7 linked regions of the Macaca fascicularis genome follow. The protein of the gene in region 6 interacts with the protein of the main gene of each other region in a biochemical or structural test. Links are inferred from orthologs where the notes say so. Each region holds a gene or a part of one and is shown on either strand. Other genes may lie near its edges. The genes, in order: HNF4A, PPARG, THRA, TGS1, ESR1, NCOA6 and RXRA.

Region 1 (3,500 bases), about 9.7 Mb from region 6:
CACAACAGTGGTTCCCAACTGGGGATGATTTTGGCCCATCAGGAGACGTTTGACTATATCCGAAGACATTTTTGGTTGTCACTACTGGAGAAGTGCTACTGGCACCTTATGGGTACAGGACAGAGATGCAGCCAAACAACGCACAGGACAGCCCAGCACAACAAAGAATCGTCCAGTTCCAAGTATCAATAGTACCAGTGTTGAGAAACCTCGCCCTCACTGAAGCACCTCCAAAATCTCGAATTCAACATCCCTACTTTGACTTCACCTTGTGTCCTTCCAGCTCCCTTAATCTAGTACCATCACTGCAAAACTTCTTCAGCCTACTGAGGCTGTCAATTCACTGACACTCTCTTTTCACTATCACCCCATCCTTTTGTTGTTGTTGTTGAGACAGAGTCTTGCTCTGTCACACATGCTGGAGTGCAATGTCACAATCTCGGCTCACTGCAACCTCCGTCTCCTGGGTTCAAGCGATTGTCCTGCCTCAGTCTCCCGAGTAGCTGGGATTACAGGCGCATGCCACCACGTCTGGCTAATTTTTTTTGTATTTTTAGTAGAGATGGTGTTTTACTGTGTTGGCCAGGTTGGTCTTGAGCTCCTAGCCTCAAGTGATCCACCCGCCTCGGCCTCCCAAAGTGCTAGGATTACAGGTGTGAGCCACCGCACCCAGCCTCTGTCTTTATTTCTCTTTGAGTGCAGCCCAGACTGCATGACCTATCATTCTAATCACTCCCTTGCAGTCATCCTAACTCCTTCATACTCCCCTTCACAGTCAAACCATTTCAAAGGGTTATCTACTCTATCTCCACCTTCCCACTTGCTGTCTTTGGAGCACTCTCCAATCTGGTTTCCACTCTCCCAGCTCTCTGAAACTGCTTTCAACACAATTGCCAAGAGCCTCCAGCTGCCAATCCAATGGACTCTTTCCTCTCTCTTCCCCTCCTCCCTTCACCTCTCCATTCCTCCCTCCTTCTTTCTGTCTCTCTGCAGAGTGTAACACCATTAAACACTCTGTCCTTCAAACACGCTCTTCTCTTGGATTCTGGAATTGCCCTGGTTTTCTCCTACCCCTCCGGCCATTCTTCTTCCCTTCCCTCCATGGCTCCATCTTCCCCCGATTCCACAGAGCTGCCTTTAATCTTGTGCTTGAGCAGCAGACTCATACATTCAACTGCCTCCTCGGCAACTTGGACTTGTAATAGTCATCTCATGCTTAATGAAAGTCCACAATGAGGCTGGGCATGGTGGCTCACACCTGTAATCCCAGCACTTTGAGAGGCCAAGTCGGAAGGATTGCTTAAGACCAGGAGTTCAAGACTAGCCTGGGCAACATAGTGAGACGTCGTCTCTATAAAAAATAAAAATGAAAAATTAGCCGGGTATGGTGGCACACACCTGTAGTCCCAGCTACTCGGAAGACTGGAGGATCTCTTGAGCCTGGAAGGTTGAGGCTGCAGTGAGCTATGACTGCGCCACTGCACTCCAGCCTGGGTGACAGAGAGAGATCTCGTCTCAAAAAAAAAAAAAAAAAAAAAGGAAAAAGGAAAAAAAGAGAGTCCACAACGGATCTCTGAGGTCACCCCTCACGACCACCCCCAGACCGCAGCATCAAGTTGTTTATTCTGTCCTCCTCATCTCGGTAAACTACTCCATCATCATTTCTGCTATTCAAAGCAAAAATTTAGACTCTGTCCTTGACTATTCCTCTTCCTGTCACTCCCTACATCTAATCAGTCAGCAAATCCTGTGGGTGTGGGCTCTTCCTCCAAATAGATGATCCGGTTTATCTTCACTGCTCCATTTCCATGGTCCAAGCCTTCATCATCTGTCACATGATTGGAGACAGTGACATTCTCAGGAATCTCTGCAATTTACTTTGTACCCAACAGTCTGAGTGGTTTGTTTAAAGCATTAGTCTGGGCTGGGCATGGTGGCTCATGCCTGTCATTCTAGCAGTTTGGGAGACCGAGGTGGGCAATCACTTGAGGTCAGGAGTTTGAGACCATCTTGGCCGATAGGGTGAAACCCCATCTCTGCTAAAAATATAAAAAAAAGAGCTGGGCGTGGTGGCGGGTGCCTGTAATCCCAGCTACTTGGGAGGCTGCACAGGAGAATTGCTTGAACTTGGGAGGTGAAGGTTGCAGTGAGCCGAGATCCTGCCACTGCACTCCAGCCTGGATGATAGAGGGAAATTTTGTCTCAAAGAATAAAAATAATTAGTCTGGTTTTCACTCTCCTTACAATAGTTGCAATGAGAATAAAATCCAAATTTCTGACAAGGTTTACAAAGCCATATGTTTATGATTTGGTTTCTGCCCAATCTCCATCTTCACCTCCTCCATCTCCTCCATCTCACAACCTTGCCCTTCTTTCTCAAACACACAACTCTCTCCTCTCCGGGGCCCTTGAAGTAGTTCCTTCTTCTTGGAATATTCCTCTCTTTTTTTTTTTTTTTTTTTTTTTTTTTGATGGAGTCTCGCTGTGTTGCCCAGGCTGGAGTGCAGTGGCACGATCTCGGCTCACTGCAAACTCCACCTCCCAGGTTCACGCCATTCTCCTACCTCAGTCTCCCGAGTAGCTGGGACCACAGGCGCCCACCACCACACCCAGCCGATTTTTTGTATTTTTAGTACAGACAGGGTTTCACTGTGTTAGCCAGGATGGTCTCGATCTCCCGACCTCGTGATCTGCCCTCCTTGGCCTCCCAAAGTGCTGGGATTACAGGTGTGAGCCACTGCTCTCTTGTCTTTTAAGCCTTGCACTTCCTTTCAGCCATTAGGGTCTTAGCACAAGAGTCACCATTTCAGAGAGGTCTCCTTTGGCCTCCCCTATCTAAAGAGGATTCCTTTTCAGTTAAACTCTACCATATTACCTGTTTATTTCAAAATCATAAAATGTGAGCCTTTATACACACATGCACACACATACGGGCATATACACAGATATCCATGCATCTATACACACTCACACATACACAGCCTCCCGGAGGGCAAAGATCATGTTCTTCACTGAATTGCCAGCACTCAGAACAGTGACTGGCATGTGCTAGGCTCTCAGCGCCTGAACAGATAGACCATTGCCTTTGTTCCCATTTTTCTGATGAGGAAACTGAGGCACAGATGGGTTAAGCAACTTGCCCAAAGCTGCACAGTGGGGAAGCCAAGGAGCTGAGGGGTGAGCTCAGGTCTGTGTGAGGCTGTCTCCTAGAGAGTCCCCCCTCCAACCCTGCCCCTCCTGGGCCTGGCACGGACCTCCCAGCAGCATCTCCTGCAGCAGGTTGTCGATCTTGGCCATGCCGAAGAGCTTGATGAACTGGATCTGCTCGATCATCTGCCAGGTGATGCTCTGCAGGGTAGGTAGCAGCAGCAGCAGCTCTCCAAAGCGGCCGCGCGAGTCATACTGGCGGTCATTGATGTAGTCTTCCAAGCTCACCTGCACCTGGGAACGCAGCCGCTTGATCTTCCCTGGATCGCTCAGCCCTTTGGCATCTACAATGG
Region 2 (3,471 bases), on a different chromosome or scaffold from region 6:
CAGTGGCATTGATTAGCAGGTAGTATATGAATAGGCTGCTGGTGGTGAGTGAAAATCTCGGTTAGGATTGTGGAAGAAGACTGAATTCTGGGTAAGCCCAGGGATATACTGCATATCAGCATATCCAGGCTACAAAACACATGCTCTGAGCCGTCTGATTCTGAAGTTCCCCTTCCCTTCTTAGTTCTGATTGTTAAAGCAGATGTAGAGTTCCGAAAAGTTGTAAATTGAGTAAAAAATTAATTTACTGAGAATGGAAGTGTATCAGCAGTTCCACTCACATATTTTAAAATGTCTAAGAAAGAAAAGAAAAATAAAGGAAGAAGGAAAGGAAGGAAGGAAGGGAGGAAGGGTGCGAGGGAGGGAGGGAGGAAGGAAGGGAGGGAGGGAGGAAGGGAGGGAGGGAGGGATCGAGGGAAGAAGGAAAAGGGGGAAAAAAGAAAGCCCAGGGGCTAGGGTGGGAAACACACAAGACTCAGTAAATGAAATACTATCAGCAATTTCATAATATGGTAATTTTTAATATTAAAAGTAAATTGTAAATGTGTCTTTATAAACAATATGCATAAAATAGATCATATTCTAAAACCGTTTCTTTTTAAAATGCTTTTTCACAGTAAATTTCTTAGGTGTCAGATTTTCCCTCAGAATAGTGCAACTGGAAGAAGGGAAATGTTGGCAGCGGCTCAGGACTCTCTGCTAGTACAAGTCCTTGTAGATCTCCTGCAGGAGCGGGTGAAGACTCATGTCTGTCTCCGTCTTCTTGATCACCTGCAGTAGCTGCACGTGTTCCGTGACAATCTGTCTGAGGTCTGTCATTTTCTGGAGCAGCTTGGCAAACAGCTGCGAGGACTCAGGGTGGTTCAGCTTCAGCTGGAGCTCCAGGGCTTGTAGCAGGTTGTCTTGAATGTCTTCAATGGGCTTCACATTCAGCAAACCTGGGCGATCTGGGGAAGCACAAATGGAAAACACAACACGGGGTTCAGTCAAAAAATCCTCTGGGCCCCGCCTCGGAGGCCTAGGGAGCTCTACCAAGCAACTCATCCGTGGTTTTGGTTTGTTTTGCTTTGTATCTTAAATAGGTGGGGAGCAAGGGCAAGCAGATAATGGGTGAGAACTGAGGATGTAATCAGAACCAAAATAATCAGAGGTCTTTGCAGGGGCTTTTTCTGGCCAGGATGGAATCTGTGTGGTCAGCTGATGGAGCGTGGCATCAAAACAATTTCATTCCCCAAATTAAGTTTCCTCTGCTAACATGTTTCTACTCAGAAATTTCCTTTTTCCTTTTTTTTTTTTTTGAGATGGAGTCTTGCTCTGTCTGGCTGGAGTGCAGTGGCACGACCTCAGCTCACTACAACCTATGCCTCCCGGGATCAAGCTATTCTCCTGCCTCAGCCTCCTGAGTAGCTGGGATGATAGGCGCTCACCACCACGCCTTTCTAATTTTTGTATTTTTAGTAGAGATGGGGTTTCACCATGTTGGCCACGCTTGTCTCAAACTCCTGACCTCAAGTGATCCACCCGCCTTGGCCTCCCAAAGTGCTGGGATTACAGGCATGAGCCACCACGCCCAGCCAGAAATCTTTTCAACTTCTGCTCCTTCCTGATGAATCCATGTTTTATAGCTTCTACTCAGTTTCTTATCATAGCTTCAAATATGCTCTTTTCACAAATATGCTTTTAAAAAAAGGCTTGTCTTTTTGCTTGATTTGCTTATGCTGTGTTTGCTTAATATGGCGTATTTCCAAACGACAAAACACAGTTTTAAAATACTGATACATTTTAACAGAGGTTTCTTTTGAGTGGCAAGATTGCAAGCAATTTTCACTAGTTCTTCTTTAGATTTTTTCTTTAGTTCAATTTGCAAATGGTGAACTTAAATACCTTTTAAATATTTTACTTTTTTCTTTATGTAGATCTTGTTAGATTTATTCTCAAATACTTTATAGCTTCTATTGTGAATGGACCCTTCATTTTCATTACATCTAATATATCCCCGCTGATGTGTAGAAAACTAATTGATTTTAGTATATTGAAACGATTCCAATTTCCTGAACTTTTGTCAGTTCGAATAGCTTTTAATCATGGATTTCTACTTTTTTTGGATAGATAATTGTATCAGCAATGGTAGCTATTTATTTCTTCTTTTGCATCATTAACCTTTCTCATTTCCTCTTCTTGCCATAGTGTGTTGGCTAAAACCTCCAATATGGGATTAAATAATAGCAGCAATTCTTGTTTTATTCCTAACTTTGAAGGAAATGCTTCTAATGGTTTATCAGCAACTATGATGTTTGCTATAGATTATGGAGGACATGTTTTACTCCTGGCTTATCCAGGGGTTTAAAAATTTTAATTTGTTTTAGTCAGGAATGTTGTTGAATTTTTATCAAATGCTTTTACATTTCTCTATCTAAAGAGCTATGATATCTTGAAGAGTTATGGTTTTATCTTAACCTAGCACAGTGAATTACATTAACAGAGTTCCTTATACCCTTGTAGTCACTTGCTAATATTTTATTATAGGGTTTTTGTACTTGTAGGTGGTACTGATTTAGAATTATTTTGGGGGCCATTCTTTGCCTGTTTTAGTAACAATGTTAACTAGCCTTATACACTGAGTTGAGAAGTTTGCCTTCTGTGTCGACATAGTAATGATCTGTTCCCTGACGGTTTCTTAGAATTTGTTTGCAGAACCATCTGAGCTTAATGATAAATCTATCATTATCTTTAATTTTTCTTCCATAGTTTTTATCTATTCAGGCTTTCTACTACTTATATGGTAAAGTTTTAGTAATTTATATTGGAATAAAGTTGTAGATGATATTGTCTTAGAATATGAAATGTATTTATTCATGCCCCTTAACTTAATCTTAACTTAATGCTTTTTCTTTTCTTTTTTTTGAGACAGAGTCTTAATCTGTTGCCCAGTGCAGTGGCATGATCATGGCTCACTGCAGCCTCCAACTCCTGGGTTCAGGTGATCCTCCTGCTTTCGCCTCCCAAGTAGCTGGGACTATAGGCATGAGCCACCACACCCAACTAATTTCTAAATTTTTTGTAGAGGTGGGGTCTTGCTACATAGCCCAGACTGGTCTTGAACTTCTGGCCTCAACCAATCCTCCTGCCTCAGCCTCCCAAAGTGCTGGGAACATAGGCATGAGCCACTGTGCCCAGCTCTTAGAGCTCTTTATTTGTGCATTCTCTCATTAAAAAAATCTGATTTGGCCGGAGAATGGCAGGAACCCGGGAGGCGGAGCTTGCAGTGAGCTGAGATCTGGCCACTGCACTCCAGCCTGGGCGACAGAGCAAGACTCCATCTCAAAAAAAAAAAAAAAAAATCTGATTTGTCAAAGGTTTATCTAGTTTTTGCTTTTTTAAAAAAACATAACTTTTGGTTTTTTAATCAAGTCTGTTTTTAAACATTTTGTGTTTTGTTTTTAATTTATTGAATTCCTTTTTAAAACTTTC
Region 3 (3,500 bases), on a different chromosome or scaffold from region 6:
ATATGTATCTGCACGTGTGCCTGAGTGCTGGGTGTATGTGTATATGTGTGTGTCTGTGTGTCTGTGTGTGTATCTGTGTGCTGGGTGTGTGTATCCGCACGTGTGCCTGAGTGCTGGGTGTATGTATACATGTGTGTGTCTGTGTGTCTGTGTATGTATCTGTGTGCTGGGTGTGTGTGTCTGTGTATGTGTCTGCACGTGTGCCTGAGTGCTGGGTGTATGTGTATATGTGTGTGTGTGTATGTATCTGTGTGCTAGGTGTGTGTGTCTGTGTATGTGTCTGCACGTGTGCCTGAGTGCTGGGTGTATGTGTATATGTGTGTATATGTGTGTGTGTGTATGTATCTGTGTGCTAGGTGTGTCTGTGTCTGTGTCTGCATGTGTGCCTGTGTGCTGAGTGTGTGTTGACCTACGGGAATTGCTCCTTGTCCAGAGAGCCTCAGATGAGCCTGTGCTGGGTGACCGGGGGAGAAGGTTTCCCTCCAGCACAGCACCACGTCTCTCCTCCCTTCTGCCACTCACCTCGGAGAACATGGGCAGTTTTTTGGCAAAGTCCACCACACGGGTGATGGCCGGGGTGATGATCTTGGTAAACTCGCTGAAGGCTTCCAGGTCCACCTTGTCTCCGTCCGGCATGGAGACGATGGGTGACTGGCCAATGTCATCGGGCTAGAGAGAAAGACAGGGGTCAGCTGGGGCTGCAGACCCCTTTCAGCCTCTCACTGAGGCTGCCTGCCCACCAGGGGGAGCTCCAAGGCAGCTTGGGGAAGAAGGGCCGCAAGTGCCTGAGTCCCAGCCCCAAAGCTTTTCCTTCACCTTGAGCAGAGGATAGACCAGAGCCAGAGTCAGCTAATAATAACAATGGTAACAACAGTAGTAGCAGCTATAATGACTAAATACTTAATATATGATCAGGCATCAGGCTACATGTTTTACATGTCTTATTTCATCCTGACCGTAATCCTAAAAGGAATAATTATAATAATCACCATTTCACAGATGTGGAAACTAAGGCACGGGGCAGCTAAGTAATAAGGTTAAAGTCATATGACCAGCAAGTGGTAGGACCAGGGTTTGAACTTGGGCAGTCTGACTGCTGACTGTTATACATCTGCTTGGAATCAGAGCCCATGCCCTTAACAGTGCACTGTGCCACCCTCTGGCATGCTCCACCATGAACCAGGAGCTGGTTTTCTGCCTTCCTTCACCACACAGAGTCAACTGTCCATCTCCTCCCAAACCGACCACTTTTTTTTTGAGAGAGGGTCTTGCTCTGTTGCCTGGGCTGGAGTGCAGTGGTATAATCATGGCTTACTGCAGCCTCGACCTCCTGGGCTTAGGGGACCCTCCTGCCTCAGCCTCCCGAGTACCTGGGACCACAGGCACACACCACCATGCCCAGCTAATTTTAAAATTATCTGTAGAGAGGCTGAGCACAGTAGTTCACACTTGTAATCCCAGCACTTTGGGAGGCCAAGGCAGGCAGATTACCTGAGGTTGGGAGTTCCAGACAAGCCTGACCAACATAGAGAAACACCATCTCTACTAAAAATACAAAATTAGCCAGGCATGGTGGCGCATGCCTGTAATCCCAGCTATTTGGGAAGTTGAGGCAGAAGAATCGCTTGAAGCTGGGAGATAGAGGTTGCGGCAAACCAAGATTGCGCCACTGCATTTCAGCCTGGGCAACAAGAGCAAAACTCCATCTCAAAAAAAAAAAAAAAAAATTATTCGTAGAGGCTAGGCATGGTGGCTCACACCTTGTAATCTCAGCACTTTGGGAGGCCAAGGCAGGCAGATCACTTGAGATCAGGAGTTCAAGACCGGCCTGGCCAACATGGTGAAACCCTGTCTCTACTAAAAATACAAAAATTAGCCAGACATGGTGGCGGCTGCCTGTAATCCCAGCTACTCAGGAGACTAAGGTGGCAGAATCGCTGAACCCAGGAAGCAGAGGTTGCGGTGAGCCGAGATCATGCCACTGCACTCTAGCCTGGGTGAGAGTGAGACTCCATACCAAAAAAAAAAAAATTATTCATAGAGGTGGGATCTCTGTATGTTACCCAGATGAACTCCTGGGCTCAAGCGATCCTCCCACCTTGGTCTCACAAATTGCTGGGATTACAGGCACGAGCCATTGCATCTGGTCCTGAACTAATCATTTACTTAGCCACTAGCTTGACCAGGGCCTAACACAATGCCTGGCACCCAGCAGGCACTCAAAAATACTGTGACATAACTGTATCCTTACCCTCTCCTCCCAGTCACTAGGGGCAGGAAAAAGAAGCAAGGTCACCCTTGCTCCCTGGAAATTCAATGAGGAAGGCAAGGCCCTGTCCTCATGGAGCTCCCAATTGGATGGAGTAGACAGGGTCCAGACAGCAAGGACACAAACGCAAGTGTATAAAATCTGGACAGCAAAAGTGGGAAGAGTATGTATTTTGGGTTGGATTACACTAAGAAGACTTCCTGGAGGAGACAGGACTCTGAGCTCACTCTCCTCTCCCTGCCACCTGGCTGCTGCTCTCCCCATGCCCCCTTTCTCCTTACCAGGAATTTCCGCCTCTGTTTCCAATGGCTGCCCTGGGCATTGGTGCTGCGATGGGCCTCTGTGGCAATGTGGATCAGATCCCACTCTTCAGGAGTGGGTTCTGGTCGCTGCTGCAGTGATCGGATCATCTCCTCCTTCCGCCGCCGCTCCCGGTTCTGCTCAATCAGCTTACGCTTGGCCACCCGCTTCGAGTCATCTAGAACCACTGTCAACAGATAGGCACAAGGTCCGATGCATGGCACCCTCCATCCCCTTTCCATAATGCTCCCGGAAACTATTCTTCCTAGAGTACAGGTTAGGGAAACCGAGGGCCATGGAGGCTAAGTGACTTCCCAAATCACCTAGCAGTTGGGCAGCACAACCTGGATCATGATTAATCCCCGGGACCATGTCAATAACAGTTTGGGCTGATCCAGATGAATATCATGTTCTGGTCTATCGGGTTATGGTGATGGTGGTTACTCCAAGATCCTGCCACCCAATCCCCAGCCAATGGAAAATGCCCTGTCTCATCTAGGAGTGGGGTGCCTTCGCTGGGAGTCAAGAACAATGTGCTAGAGTGGGTGCCCAGGAGCTCTTTCTACCAAACAACTCCTCTAAGGCCCTCGAGTGTTGTAAGGCAGGTAGGCACTGGGGCCCACACAGGGATCCTGTTTCCTTTGACGCAGGAAGAAGGGCAGCAGGAACCAAGACACTGAACCTTCTGCCCTCAGCCTGACCTAGACTGGATTGCCACTCTGCCCTGTGGGCCCTGAGGGCACGCTGGAAGGGAGCTGCCCTCCTGGAACTCATCCCCACCCCAGGCCACCTGGCTCTATTCCCCCCACCCGGGCCCCTTACAGTCCATGGCCATGCCCACGGCGATGCACTTCTTGAAGCGGCACAGCTGGCACTGATTTCGGGTGATCTTGTCAATGACACAGCAGCTGTCATATTTGCAGGAATAAGT
Region 4 (3,500 bases), on a different chromosome or scaffold from region 6:
AGTATAGAAGAGTATCAGAATATTAATATAAAATCTTCAAATAAAAAAGGATGGCTGTGCATGGTGGCTCACGCCTATGCACTTTGGGAGGCTGAGGCGGTAGGATCACCTGAGGTCAGGAGTTTGAGACCAGACTGGCCAACACGGTGAAACCCCGTATCTACTAAAAATACAAAAAAAAAAAAAAAAATTTAACTGGAAGTGGTGGCACACACCTGTAGTCCCAGCTACTCGGGAGGCTGAGGCTGGAGAACTGCTTGAGCCCAGAGGTGGACCTTGCAGTGAGCTGAGTTCATGCCACCACACTCCAGCCTGGGCGACAGAGTAAGACTCCATCTTAAAAAAAAAAAATTAAAAAAAAGGTGAAAATATATCACCTAAATAGAAAAGAATGAGAATATTATGAGAATATTATGCTGAGGTAGGCTCCACTATAAGAATCTAAGAATACAGAGAAAAAAGCAAGTTGGCAGAGCTCTTTAGAAACTCTCAGCTGGATGAAGTATTATCAGCAATCTGAGATAAGCAAAGCAAATCTGATGGTTAAGTAAAAGGTCAAAACCATTTGTTTCACAAAGGAGTAAGGCTGAGAAGAAAGTTCCTCTACACTAGATGTCCTCAGCATGTAACATCAGGATGCCAAAACTTCAGGATATGCAGATGTCACAATTTCCTCCTCTCTCATTTTCCTGGTGCTGTTAATTGGCAGAACCCTCTCCTTAGCAAGAACACTGATATGGTTTGGATGATTGTCCCCTCTAAACCTCATATTTAAATGTGATCCCTAATGTTGGAAGTGGGGTCTGGTGGGAAGTGTTTGGGTCATGGAGCAGATCCTTCATGAATGGCTTAGTGCCTCCCCCCCATGGTAATGAGCTACTGCAATATCTGATTGCTAACAAGAGCCTGGGACTTCCCCCCTCTCTCTTGCTGTCTCTCTTGCCATGTGGCATGCCTATTTCGCTTTCACCTTCTGCCATAATTGGAAGGTTCCTGGGGCCCTCACCAGGAGTTGATGCTGAGGCTATGCTTCCTGTGCAGCCTGCAAAACTGTGAGCCAAAATAAACCTCTTTTCTTTATACATTCCTCAGTCTTAGGTATTCCTTTACAGCAATGCAAAGTAAACATTCTCATCCCACCCTACTCCGATTAACTCCTTTCAAAGCACTTCTCATTGGCATTCTCTAGTCCTGAGTGGCACCAGTTTGCACAACGAGCCTTTGTTTTTGTTTTTTTTTTTTTTTTTTTATCAGTTATTCAGGAATCAACCAAGTTCCTTATCCTGGATATTTTATTGATGAGAATCCTGAAATTATTCCAGTTATAAATTAATTCTGGGCCCCACTGAGATCTTTTTTCACAGCAAGACTTTGCTTGTCCTACATGAATTCCACTATGACTCATAAGACATTTGCCTAATGTCAAATGTACGTTCTCAATTGCTTTCTAACATGCCTCTTATAAACTCATTTGCTCTGAAAAACTAAAAGTTCCAAGCTCACTCTAAATTAGATTTCTCAAGAGATTCCACGTTTTCATTAGCCACCAAAGTACAAGAAGGAATGTTTTTGAGAACTGTATGCAAATATTCTTATTAACAGAAAAGGGTAACAACTTGTGATATGAAAATAGAATGGATTAAATCATTTCATTACTATATGAAATGTAGTTGGTATTACTGAACTCTACAATAAAGGATTAGTAGTTATTTTGCTGAATGAATTCATTTTGCTAACCATTACATGGCAGAATAAATCTTGGTTAATCTTACCCTGAGCTGGTGGGTCTGTGCTTGTATTCCCTGGTGGGCTGCTTTCCTCATTGGTTCCTCCATTATGTGGTTCACTTTGGCCGGAAGCAGGGCACTCTCTTCTGCTACTAACTTCACTTAGCTGTTGATGACCATCATGACTTGTAGAGGAATCTAATTGGCTCTGTTTTACTGCCTCTGAATTTAGTTTTATGTTACTAATTCCATCAAGTATTTCACTACAATCCTTATCACTTGTACCAGAGCTGTCATTATCAACTGTAATAGGTGAAGATGGAAAAGATACTAAGTCAACTTTCAAGCATTTTTCATCTTTCTTGTTGTCAGCTTCTGTTTTAGATGAGTAAGTATCTGTATCACAGCTTTGCAAGGCATCAAAAGTCCAACCCTGAGCTTCCCAATACTGAAACTGTTCCAAATAATACCAATAAAGTTGACTATAATGTTGCTCCCATTCTTCCTTTGTATCAGGAAAGTTCCAAGGTTCAGAAGATAGTGTTTGATCTGGATGTTTTTCTTGCCAACTCTGCCACAATAGTCCTCCTCCGTATTCATTCCAATACTTTTCCCATTTCTCTGTAATTTCTAGCTTTGGAGATAATGTGTTTTCAACAGGAAGATTTTCTGTCTCAGTATCTTTTTTGCTTTGAAGTTCACATATTCTGGTGTTCTCATACTGTTCAATTGAAGATGGATCATCTGAAGCCAAAATGTGTTCTTCTTCATATTCTTTTCTCCAAGATTCTTGCATAATTTCATCTAAGTATTTCTTTTGATGTTTCTTCTTTTTCTTTTTTATTTTAACTTTATTTCTAGTATTCATAGATACCTACATCAGATAAATAATTTGAATATAAAATGTACTTCATAAAACTATACAAGAAAGCAGAATCCAAGTCTATTTTGACATTAAATTAAACAAACTACTCTCAAAGTCCCACTATGGGCTTTCAGCTCCACAAACAAGTGACATACTGTCTAAGTTTCCAAGAGGAGGAAGAGTCACACGTGAGACATATTACAACTTGCAGTTTTGGTTAATTTATAAATACATACATTTAAAAAGAGGCAGAGAGTACTGATTGTGAATGCATTTAATCTGATAAAAAGTAACTCCCTGCGATATTTTATAAAGAAAACTGAGAGAATAAAAGTAAATTAATATTTACCTCAAAATTCTTATGTGCAGATATCCTACCAAATTGAAGTGGCAATCCCATACTTCTCATGAGTTCAGCCTCAGAATCAAGCTCACTTTCATCTAGGCATATGCCTTTGTTGTCACGTGATTCCGCAGTACCACAAGAATAACCACCTTCTTCCTCTTCTGTCGCCTGGTCTCCTATAGATAGCATTTATTAGCTTAGTTTTAAGGAAAACTTAAGAGGCAGGTTTTCTTATTTTCATTTAAAAAAACCCTGAGATCCAGAGTGACTGATTACAGGACCTGCCCAAAACAAAGGTAGGCAAATGTTACAATATTTATTTTTTATTTTTTAGAGATGGGGGTCCCACAGTACTGCCCAGGTTGGAGTATAACAGCTATTTGCAGGTGTGATCATAATGCACTAAAAAGCTCTGAACTCCTGGGCTCAGTCAGTCCTCTTGCCTCAGCCTCACAAGCAGCTAGGATTACAGTTGCATGCCATCTTGCCTGGCCTGCAAAGTTACAATTTTTAAAGGAAAAAAAGAAAACAAACCAACAAAAAACAACTGATGATATGCTGG
Region 5 (3,998 bases), on a different chromosome or scaffold from region 6:
ATAGATAAATGGGAACACCAATTCAATAGCATTCATTAGCCATGAGAAACTCAACGGTAAAAGGCCATAAGCAACTCAATGCTATAAAGGACTGGAGATTTGCATCATTGGACAATCAAATGGGAAACCACTTTATCAATGGAACTTTGCAGGAGGAACAACGGAACCAGAAAAGTGGGGAGCTCTTGGCTGACTCCCAGTAGGAAAGACCTGTCACTAGGACTAGTCATCTCCTCTAATGGTCAATACTTACCTTAGCAGGGCAGGCGCAGTGGCTCATGCCTGTAATCCCAGCACTTTGGGAGGCTGAGATGGGCGGATCAGCTGAGGTCAGGAGTTCGACACCAGCCTGGCCAACATAGTGAAACACCGTTTCTACTAAAAATACAAAATTAGCTGGGCATGGTGGTGCATGCCTATAATCCCAGCTACTCGGGAGGCTGAGGCAGGAGAATCACTTGAACCCAGGAGGCGGAGGTTGTGGTGAGCCAACATCATGCTACTACACTCCAGCCTGGGCAACAAGATCGAAACTCGGTCTCAAAAACAAACAAGCAAACAAAAAAACTTGCCTTAGCATATCTTGGTTTAGTCTCCTTGAGCTTCCTTCTTCTAAGCCTTAGCCTGGCCATCTTCAGGAAAACCTGTTCTTGCTTATCTATGCCTACATGTAATATGATATTTAAAACCTGGATTTAGACTCAAACTTGGCTGATTTACCAGCTCTGTGATCTTAGTTAGACATATGAATCTTCTAAGCCTCAGCTTCCTTATCTGTAAAGCAAGACAAATACTCTCTTCCCACAGGTGTGTGGGAGGATTAAATGAGATAACTTTGATACATTTAGAACAGTTATGCACCAAACTCTATTCTAAAGACTGCTGTTTATCTTATGGAGTCAATATCATCATTTTGTTTTCCATCCCACATAACAGTTGGATGCCAATATGAAGTGTATATTTATAACTGAGAATCAACTATTTTTACTGAATGAGGAATATTAATGAGAATGATTTTAACCAAAACAGCAAACGATGGCACTGGTGTGCTGTGTGTGAGTGAGAATAGCTCAGGAATACCAGAGGGGAAAAGGATTTCAGAATCAATAAGTACTTTTGTGAGCTATTTCACAAAAATGACATGAAAGAAAATATTTAGAGATACGGAAAAGGTCAAACTAACCTGAAACTCAGTTTTATTGACAAAAGTTTAAGTTACCTTTAGCATATTTCATCATCCCATAATCAGGACCATCAATAAATATTTACTGAGTGCCTACTGCAGTCAAGACACTGCAGTGTGGGCTGCAGTTAATGTCCAGGTGATGGGAGAATTGCTTAGAAGTACGAGCAATTGTACTTTCCTGGATGACTAAAATCTAATTGGAGAGTCAGGCATAGCATAAAAATAAATCTATAGAAGAAAAATCAGTAAACAAAAGTAGCCTACAAAATTTTCCCATGTTTTTTGGGATGCACTTATATGGCTTTAAATTTTAAAAATATTTTGAAATATAAAGCTTAAAAGAGTGAACAACTCGGGTCATCATACTTTTTTTTTTTTTTTTTTTTTTTTTTTTGCCAGAACCTCACTAGAGGAAGATATTAGATTGGATGATATGAAAATGTCAATATTTAACCTTTTTTACATCCAAAAAAACCCCAAAATTTCATGTGGTTCAACCTTGATTTCAGTAAGCTATTTCTGAAAGCTGGATACATGTTGAAATATGAGTAACATTTGCAGTCCATCTACTCTGGACTCATGCTAATTCCTTCTGGGGCCTTTTCAGATTCAAGATAGATTCGCAGGAAAAAATGCATAATATTTAAACTGACGGACTGGAAAATTAGCATGAAAAGTTCACCAGTGTTATGGAAAATTTCACCCAACACATTTCGTAAAGAACAAAAACCTAAACACACATGGTAGATCCACTTCAGCAAATCATGTTAGTGCAGCAACATTATCCAACAATAAAATTTTAGAACAATTTTCTCCCCAAGGGACTCATTTTCCTTAGAAAATTATGCAAAGTGTGAACAACTGTGAAATACAATTGTCACCCAAAATATTTAACTTGACAACAGATTGAAAACTGTTACAATGTAATATAATTTACAATGACTAAAATTTTAATTTTAATGGGTAGTACCCATAAAAGTTGTCTAGTTTAATTAATTTCCCTTTTTCATTGGTGCTGTGGGTCTTAAATTTATATTTTGCTACATCTTTATAAAACAACTTTAAATTCCCACACATTAAATTTCTCTACAACTGTCTATCTAAATCAGAGTTTTTAATGATAAAGACATGTGATGCCCCTGTATGAATAGACAGAGAAAAAATTAAAACGAACAAAAAATGTATTCCCCCTGTGTAAGATATAGACTTTTTTTATCATTGAAGACTTGTTTGGCTAACTTTACAGTCCAAAAATTCTCCTAATTTGAAAGATTGTCATTATAAATTAAAATCTCTGAAAACCTCCAGACTATGTATCAAGTCTTTGAAGATATCAACATTGTGCCCATATATATCCCATAGCCTTGCCTTGGTATCACCTTGTGAGACACAAATGTTCTTTCTATGGCATGTGCTTTTATCCTGATGTGTGAGGCCTTGGTCTGATAACCTCCTTACATAGTCATCTTAATATTCAGTTGCCCAAGGGAAAGTTAATAGAGTAGAAAAAATTAAAACTTACCTTCTTTGGTAGCTACAGAATATAATTCACAATCAAAGGGATTGGTATCAGATTTTGGAGATATTTGAGGCTCTGCGATTATTTCTCTGACTGCTTAGAACCTTAGAATCTACCAGAATAAAATCTATTAATCAAATATTTTTTTTGGACTAAGCTTACACAGTTTGTTCAGGCATTGTTAGCATGTCTGGAAGAGTCATCTCTGCTTTCGGGAAAATTACGTTGACTGAAAGAAAGCACAAAACAATCGTCTCAAAACCGTCAGTAATTTTTCTAAAGGATGTCAAATGTGCACTTCACAGCGAGGGAAAATGTTGACCAATACTGTTGTTTGTGATAAATACATCACATCCTAGTGAAAATGTGGTATAGCAGGTAACAAGTTTCCATTCTGTGCACTAGAACTGAAAAACTGTACCTAGAAAGGATATTCTGAAAAATACTAATTATAGGGACAAAGCCTTAATATTCTTAATACAAACAGCTCTTAAAAGTCTATTTTAAAAATGGAACATGTGAACAGAAAAACTAATAAAAATTTACAAAGGACAAAATAATGGAGACCAGTAAACATAATTTTTAAAGGTCACTGTTAATTGGAGAATTTCAAATTTTTAAAACTGTGTGCTATCAGGTTTTAAATATTTATGGTGGTTATAATGTAGGAAGTAAGCATTCTCAAACACTGCTGGCGAAGTATAAAATATTACAACCTTCCTAGAGCACTATGACTTTATTCAAAATCTTAAAATACTCAAAGGAAAAAAAAGAGCTTTCTTTCATCTACAGTTCAAAATAACATAACTTAAAACTATATTATTCCTAGGCCTATATATAACAAGACATCTTCAAAATGTTGCCTTCTTATGCATGAATATGATGTAATTCTACTTATTTAGATCTTCTTTAATATTTCTCAAGAAAATTTTTCCTCTAATAAGTTTTTCTACATCTTATGTTAGATTTATTTTCTAATGTTATTGTCTTTTTTCTAGTATAGTGAAATGACATTGACTTTTGTATATTAATTTTATATCCTGCCTTCTTGCTGAGCTCTCCTACAATTTCTAATAATTTATCTGAAGATTCTTTGGAGTTTTTTATGTAAATGTATATATCATCTGAAAATAATTAGTTTCATTTCTTCCTTTTCAATCCTTATATCTGACTCTACAATTCTCTAAATTTTTGTCATATATATTTTGAGGCAGCTTAATTGGGTATGTATACATGTTTAGAATGGATATTTCTTGGTGAATTGAAACTTTAACCTTATGACTTCCTCTATTA
Region 6 (3,500 bases):
AGAAATCTGGAGGCACATTAAAGGGAGAAACATCAGAATCAGGCTTCAAAGGACACAGAGAACTTAGGCCCTTAAGGAATGGAATAAAATACATAATGCACTCTAGAAGGGAACCATCCTGGAAGATACAGTAAAGATTATGGCGTGGATATGCCACAGTCACATCTTGACACCTCAGTCTAAAATCCTAGATAAACTCTGCGACAATACGTTTTACTCTCTTGTGGAAACTGTGAATTTTGTATATTTTTCTCCCTGCTTATTAAAGCAGTAAATTAGGCATTTATGTATAAGAATTTATTTTGGATGCTCATCTGATAAACCTTAAAACTGTATCTTAACTTCTACTTTTAACTTTAGTGTTCATTTCTCAAATTTCCTTTTCTTTTTCTTCTGAGACAGACTTGCTCTGTCGCCCAGGCTGTAGCACAATGGCAGGATCTCGGCTCACCACAACCTCCGCCTCGTGGGTTCAAGCAATCCTCCCGCCTCAGCCTTCTGAGTAGCTGGGACCACAGGTGCATGCCACCATGCCCGGCTAATTTATATATATATATTTTTGTAGAGATAGGGTTTTGCCTTGTTGCCCGGGATGGTCTCAAACTCCTGGGCTCAAGTGATCCACCTGCCTCAGCCTCTCAACATGCTGAGATTATAGGCATAAGCCACTGCGCCTGGCCAATTTCTCACATTTTCAAAGTAAAAGCACAGAAGTCCCTTGAAAAAGAATAGAAATAATCACTTATAAGCAAAGTGAGTATTCTTAACTAAAATTGAGAACTTTTTCCAAGTGTGGTTCATCTCCTCAAGGCTCACATATTTCTCTAGTATAATATATGATCCAGATAAAAAAAATTTCTAATTACTTCATCATTTTTCTCTTGATACCAGAGGGAAAAGTCTCCTGAAAGGAGAAGTGGAAATATTTAATTAATAGTGAAGGATATACTTAATTTACAGCAGGTTCCCTTTTAATTATTAAGGTTCATCTACACCAACAGAACTAGAACAAGATAGAATAAGCACCCAGTCTTGTGAAGACTGTCTCCTATAAGAGCAGCAAACTCCTTGAAGGCCTTGATCCTGCCCCCATATCTCTAACACTGAGGTCAAGAGGCAGAGAGAAGGGGAAATAACCTTTCCAGAGCTCGGTGTGAGGCAGTGTGTTGGCCACTTGACAAATTTTCTCATTGAGTCCTCTCTCAGAATCCTAAATTCTGGGAGGTAGAATGTACAATCTCCATTTTACAAGTGAAGTACATGGCTTAGGAGAGGTTAAGGAATGTATCAACTGTAACTGGTAACCAGTGGGCTAGAATTTGAACTCTGATCTTACCCTGAAGCTTGTGTTCTTTCTGCCTCTCCACCTGGGTGCTTACCACTCAGTGGTAGGCACTCGAAGCATTTTAGCTGCATAAATAAGATAGGCACTTAATTAGCTGGCCTAGGATATTGCAAAGGTCTTTCTCAGCTCTAGCAGTGTGTGACTGACTCCACTCTGAGGAAATAGAGCTTCTTCACTTAAGCCTCACAGGAGGAGAATCATGTAGGGGAAGGGAAGAAGGGAAGGAGGGGCGGTTGTAAGGACACCTATGCTTCCATCATTAGCCCATTTTAACAGTACATAGGAAATAGCCTGAACTAGATACACGCAAATGGAATGCACCAATCAACAAAGAGATTACATAAAAAAAAAACTGGGAATAACAATTTTTACCACTTATTGAATAATTATATGCTAGGTTCTGTGCTAAGAATGTTATATGTACTACCTTATTGAATTCTTACAACTATTATTGTTCCATATTACAAAGGAGGAAACCAAAGTCTGGAGTGGTCAGGTAACTTGCCCAAGTCCACAGAGCTGGTAAATGCTGGTGTTATAATACCAACCCAAGCCTACAGGCTCTTGACCACTTTGTTTCTGCCGTGTCCACTATCATGAAACCCAGTTTTCTTCTAGCTCTCCTCTAGAGTAGCCCAGACAAAAAAAGAATGGTTCCTGAGATAGAGTACAATGAGAATGAGGACCCATTGTTCTGAAAGTCATGAGCAAATCTTCACCCTGGTAAAGAGAATCTGCAGAAGCTGCTGTTCACACGTAAGGTACAGTGTTAAATGGGAGGTTCACAGTATAGACTCTGAACAAACACTGAACTTCTTTGAGCTTCAGTCTTCTCACCCATACAATGGGATTAAGAATATCTGATATGGTTGGTATAAAGATGATGCAAGACAACATATGTAAAAATGCTTCCTTGTAAATTGAAAAACTTTTATATAAATGAAAGGTGTCATTATTTCAGGAGCTCTTTGTTTTGAGAGCCTTAGCTCTCTTTGTTTTTTTTTGAGACAGAGTCTCGCTCTGTTGCCCAGGCTGGAGTACAGTGGCGTGATCTCGGCTCACTGCAACCTCTGCTCCCAGGTTCAAGCGATTCTCCTGCCTCAGCCTCCTGAGTAGCTGGGATTACAGGTGTGTGCCATCATGCCTGGCTAATTTTTGTATTTTTAGTAGAGATGGAGTTTCACCATGTTGGCCAGGCTGGTCTTGAACTCCTGACCTCAAGTGATCCGCCCGCCTCGGCCTCCCAAAGTGTTGGGATTACAGGCATGAGCCACCGCACCCGGCCCTTAGCTCTCTTTAATGAATGCAAACTTAACATGGGATTTAAAAGCATATTTTCCAACGTACTTTCAATAAATAAAACTACTTCCATTTAGCCCACTCTCCTCCAAGTAAAAAACGAGTCATGCTTTCTCTTGTGGGATTAGGTCATCAAAAAACTGACACAAAGAGATGATGAAGCCCCAAGTACATACCTATGCTGGGTAGAAGTTCTGGATGGGATCCCACCTTCTCCTCCACTAGGCCACCCGCAAGTGGCTCAGATGCTATGCCACCATGATTGCTTTTTGTGGTCGTTACGGCAGAGATGAGCTCGGAGGGTACCAGAGTGGTTACTATCGAGCGTACACTGGTGGGGAGAGCACCGCCAGGTAAGCTGGGTCCTGCTGAGGCAGTGCCCGGGCCCACGGGGCTAGAGGTCATTTTTAGCAGAGTGGGTGCTGGGGGCGTTGGGGTTTTACTGTCCAGCTCTGTGGGTAACTGCTCTGTTCCCACGAGCCCCGGAGCTGTGGTGTCTAGCCCTTGGCCTTCAGTCTCTCCATCTGCACCATATTGTTCTTCCCCTTTCTCAAGAGAGCCTGTAACTTTCTTACACGCCTTGGTCAACAAAATTTGGCCAATTTTGTCCACTTTTCCTTTGCCCTTACTAGACGAGACTGGGCTTCGCCGGTTGACAGAGGACCCTGGACTATTGGTCAAAAGGGGAGAAACCATTGTGGTTGACTGTGAAGAGGGAAGAGTGTTCTGATCTGCTGAGGTGTTCACCTGAGGGCTAGCCTCATCTGGATTCAATTCTTTCACTTGCTGGACAGGGGGATGAGGAGGGACTACTGGAGAAGACGTACAAGGAGGGGAAGGAAGCTGAACAGGGGTG
Region 7 (3,500 bases), on a different chromosome or scaffold from region 6:
AAGGACCCCATGCCAGCCCGTACGTCACACTCAGCCTCACGGCCCAAGGAGGATACCCTGCGGGAGTGCGGGGCCCGGCAGAGGAGCTGATTTCTCAACAGGACCGTGAAGGCTGAGACGGCACACACAAGAGATGATGAAATGAAACTGCAGCACAAGGGCCGCCACTCAGGACATCCCTGACGGTGAGACAGTGGCTTGGATCCTGCTTGGGGACCCCACCACGGGCTGGCGGGGAGGAAGTAAGACACACCAGCCACACAGGTGTGGGGCCTTGGGAGCAGCACGGCAGAGGACAGAGGAAGGGTGTCCTGCAGAGCTGGGGGCATGGGGACAGACCAGCAGATCTTCACCCCAGACAGCACCTCCCACCCCAACAAAGCCCAGGGCACGGGACCCGATGGGAAGAATCGAGGCACACCCGCAAACACGTGAGAAAACCATGACCCAGGGACCCACTCGGAGGCCAGGAATCGCCAAACCTGAGAAGGAAAGGGGATGTGACAGATGGAGACACTGAGGTCCACAGCCAGCCAGGGCTGGGAAGTCACAGCGCCTGTTGGGTCCGGGACTCTGACCCAGGTCTGACTTGACAATTGTGGTGACATCGGGGGAGGGACCTTCCCTGCAAACCGCCCCCAACACAGATTTGTTAATAACACCGGCACAAAAATGCAAGGAAAGGAGGAACTGCTCCAAGAGCCTGGGGGCCATCCGGCGGCCCTGCAGGGGTGCAGCAGAGTTGGCCTCGGGAGGAAGCCGGCCCGGAACCACCCCTGGCATCCAACAGCTCAGAAGACGCCCCCGCTCCACCTCTCCAACCTAAGCAGCACCACCTGAAGGTCTCCTTGACCATCCCCTCGCCAGACAGCCAACGCCAGCCAGAAAATGCCGCCCGGGGCCCATGTGCGCCCACGCTTCGGGCCCCGCCGCCACTCCTGCCTCGGCCTTGCCGTGCTTCTGTCCAGGCCACTCACTCCCTGTTGTCCATCTTGGGTGTCCATGCGTAGGCCCGGGCCCCACTGTTTGTCCAACACCTGCCCGTGCCCCCACCCGACGCCGTGGCCTACCTTCCCGCTTCATGCCCATGGCCAGGCACTTCTGGTAGCGGCAGTACTGGCACCGGTTCCGCTGCCGCTTGTCAATCAGGCAGTCCTTGTTGTCGCGGCAGGTGTAGGTCAGGTCCTTGCGCACCGTCCGCTTGAAGAAGCCCTTACACCCCTCGCAGCTGTACACCCCGTAGTGCTTGCCTGCGGGACAGGGCAGGGCAGGGCTGGGGAGCAGTCACCGCGCCGGCAGGCAGCCCACCCCGCATCCAACGCCGCCACTGTCAGCTGGTGGGCCAGGCCTCAGGAAGGGACCCGCTGGTCTCCAGACCCCCGCCTGGGCTCAGACTGGGCCCCGGCCTTGCCCTCTCTGCTCCTCCGAGGACAACTGGGGAGTGGGGCAGGGATAAATCCCAGCTCATCAGGGACCAGAGCTCCTGGCAAGTCACCTGCTCTGTGTCTGCACCGTGCAGCCCGTTCTTCCCTCTCAGGCTGTGGGGGGCAGTGGCACAACACAGGCCCCTTGCCCAGACCCAGCCAAGGGAGGAGGCACGGTGCTGGCTGCTCCCACACTGACCCTGCCATCAGCAGCCACCTCCTCTCCGGAAGCCTCAGGCGGCCCTGTGCCCCACCCCACCCAACACATGCTGTCCCACAGACGTGAGAACCCTGGAATGGCCTCGTGGAGCCCTGGGAGTGGGCCATGGCCCAGGTGCCTGCCTCCCTGCACCCTGGCCTTGGGTCCTGCTTGGCCCACAGGAGGGTGACTTGGGGAGGCCTCCAGACCCTGCAGTGGCCTGACAACCCTGTCCCACCGGCCCCCACAGCAGCAGTACCTGAGGAGCGGTCCCCGCAGATGGCGCAGATGTGCTTGGTGAAGGAAGCCATGTTTCCTGAGGGGTGGGCGGGGACCTTGAGGACGCCATTGAGGCCCAGGGGGGGCTTGATGTCCTCGCTGCTGCTGACCGGGTTCATGGGTGAGCTGAGCTGGGGGGGCAACCACAGCGGTCAGTGGGGTGCACACCAGGTTCGTCCGTACGTCCCCCAGAGCCCTGCAGCAAGGATGGCGCAGCCGTACCCCCCACTTCACACACAGACACGGAGGCTACAGAGGGTCGTGCCCCCCACCCGCCACGCTGCTCCGGAGCAGGGGGTCACTGTGCGTGCTGAGCGAGGCCAGCAGAGGCTGCAGCAACCTCGGGACTCGCCCACAGCAGACCCCAGGCCTCTGTGGCAAAGGACCCCTCAGCAACCCCCCAACACATGGGCGGTCCCTGCTTGCACCCCCCGTCCACTGCCCACCTAAATGAGAGCTGCCTCTCATTACTGAGCCCCTGGCAGTGCCCAGCCCTGCTGGGTGCCCCCGGACACTCCATGAGGCAGGCACTCTGGGGGGTCCCAACCCACAGATGAGGACGCCGAGGCCCAGTCCCCAGGACGGAGGAGGGCTGGGGACCCTCCAAGAACCACACATGTACCCCACCACACCGCAGGGCAGGGGTCCTGGTCACGTGACACAGGAGAGGGGAGTGGACACCCCCGGGCATCGAGTGGCACGACACCACTGGCCTCTCCGCACACCCCTCCGCCCCACCCGCCAGCCCGCACGCTGCCGCCCGGGCAAGCGTGGGAAACTCACCCGGTCACCCTGGTAACAGCTGCAGCGTGCAGTGACACAGCAGTTTTGGTTCCGCTGCCTCCACCCAGCTCTGCAGTCAGTGCAGAGGACCCACAGGCGCTTCCCGCTGCATCCTGCCAGCCAGCCCGGCTGCGCACAGCACTGAGCGCTCGGCCAGGCAGCCCCCAGCCTTCACTTCTGCAAACCCCTGCCACCGCTTGTGCGCAGGAAGCTCCCCTCCTTCCTTCCTCAGGCCTCCAAAATCCCATCCCCCCTTCTCACGGGACAGGAAGAGTTTGAGGCTCAATGCAAGCAAAGCAAAAACCACCCCAAAGCCTCCTTTCACACGGGCCTTGGTGCCTGGAATGAGTCTTCCAGCCCCAGTTTGTTCCGGCTTCTAAGTTCTTCCTCGGTCTGCCCAGGTGGGCTGTGAGGTTTTGCGAGGATGCTTGGTCCCCGCGGGCCTCAGGTGAGCTGCAAGAGGCCAGAAGGTCCCCCGTGACAACTCAGCACAGTGGGGGTGCCACAGTGGGGGCTCCAGTCACCGGAGAACCGGGTGGCCACCGTGTGACTCGCCAAAAGCCCAGCGTTCACGTCCACAGGCACCAGGTGCGCTTCTCAGAGAAGGGAGGGAACTGAAGGGGCAAGAGAAGGCTCCAGATGTTTGCTGAGGGGTATGGTGCCTGGGCTTTGCACCCACACTTGCCACTCCCTGCATGGAAAACCCTGGGGGCCCCAGATGCAGAGGCTGTGGCTCAGGGATGTCAGGGGCTGGCCAAGGTCACACAGGGTCCCCCACTCTGCAGAAGGCGAAAGTGAAGCCCCTGGAAGGACAG

What was found.
Region 1: the proteins of NCOA6 (region 6) and HNF4A form a complex in vitro, tested with the Homo sapiens proteins (2 studies listed by BioGRID). The link is inferred for Macaca fascicularis from reciprocal best matches to the Homo sapiens genes NCOA6 and HNF4A.
Region 2: the proteins of NCOA6 (region 6) and PPARG interact in a test that uses a peptide from one of them, tested with the Homo sapiens proteins (2 studies listed by BioGRID). The link is inferred for Macaca fascicularis from reciprocal best matches to the Homo sapiens genes NCOA6 and PPARG.
Region 3: the proteins of NCOA6 (region 6) and THRA form a complex in vitro, tested with the Homo sapiens proteins (2 studies listed by BioGRID). The link is inferred for Macaca fascicularis from reciprocal best matches to the Homo sapiens genes NCOA6 and THRA.
Region 4: the proteins of NCOA6 (region 6) and TGS1 form a complex in vitro, tested with the Homo sapiens proteins (2 studies listed by BioGRID). The link is inferred for Macaca fascicularis from reciprocal best matches to the Homo sapiens genes NCOA6 and TGS1.
Region 5: the proteins of NCOA6 (region 6) and ESR1 form a complex in vitro, tested with the Homo sapiens proteins (4 studies listed by BioGRID). The link is inferred for Macaca fascicularis from reciprocal best matches to the Homo sapiens genes NCOA6 and ESR1.
Region 7: the proteins of NCOA6 (region 6) and RXRA form a complex in vitro, tested with the Homo sapiens proteins (5 studies listed by BioGRID). The link is inferred for Macaca fascicularis from reciprocal best matches to the Homo sapiens genes NCOA6 and RXRA.

Annotation. Positions count from the first base shown.
Region 1 is NC_088384.1:100,500,892-100,504,391, reverse strand, and holds part of HNF4A (hepatocyte nuclear factor 4-alpha), read right to left. Parts: intron 3,492-3,500; coding exon 3,255-3,491; intron 1-3,254. UniProt on the Homo sapiens protein: Transcriptional regulator which controls the expression of hepatic genes during the transition of endodermal cells to hepatic progenitor cells, facilitating the recruitment of RNA pol II to the promoters of target genes. Activates the transcription of CYP2C38.
Region 2 is NC_088376.1:150,711,308-150,714,778, reverse strand, and holds the end of PPARG (peroxisome proliferator-activated receptor gamma), read right to left. Parts: intron 948-3,471; coding exon 700-947; 3' UTR 501-699; downstream 1-500. UniProt on the Homo sapiens protein: Nuclear receptor that binds peroxisome proliferators such as hypolipidemic drugs and fatty acids.
Region 3 is NC_088390.1:61,153,584-61,157,083, reverse strand, and holds part of THRA (thyroid hormone receptor alpha), read right to left. Parts: coding exon 3,392-3,500; intron 2,757-3,391; coding exon 2,551-2,756; intron 670-2,550; coding exon 523-669; intron 1-522.
Region 4 is NC_088382.1:65,757,596-65,761,095, reverse strand, and holds part of TGS1 (trimethylguanosine synthase), read right to left. Parts: intron 3,115-3,500; coding exon 2,942-3,114; intron 2,602-2,941; coding exon 1,773-2,601; intron 1-1,772. UniProt on the Homo sapiens protein: Catalyzes the 2 serial methylation steps for the conversion of the 7-monomethylguanosine (m(7)G) caps of snRNAs and snoRNAs to a 2,2,7-trimethylguanosine (m(2,2,7)G) cap structure.
Region 5 is NC_088378.1:59,861,262-59,865,259, reverse strand, and holds the start of ESR1 (estrogen receptor), read right to left. Parts: upstream 2,801-3,998; 5' UTR 2,709-2,800; intron 1-2,708.
Region 6 is NC_088384.1:90,779,863-90,783,362, forward strand, and holds part of NCOA6 (nuclear receptor coactivator 6), read right to left. Parts: coding exon 2,821-3,500; intron 1-2,820. UniProt on the Homo sapiens protein: Nuclear receptor coactivator that directly binds nuclear receptors and stimulates the transcriptional activities in a hormone-dependent fashion. Coactivates expression in an agonist- and AF2-dependent manner.
Region 7 is NC_088389.1:4,952,450-4,955,949, forward strand, and holds part of RXRA (retinoic acid receptor RXR-alpha), read right to left. Parts: intron 2,889-3,500; exon of another isoform or gene 2,686-2,888; intron 2,034-2,685; coding exon 1,883-2,033; intron 1,251-1,882; coding exon 1,071-1,250; intron 1-1,070. UniProt on the Homo sapiens protein: Receptor for retinoic acid that acts as a transcription factor.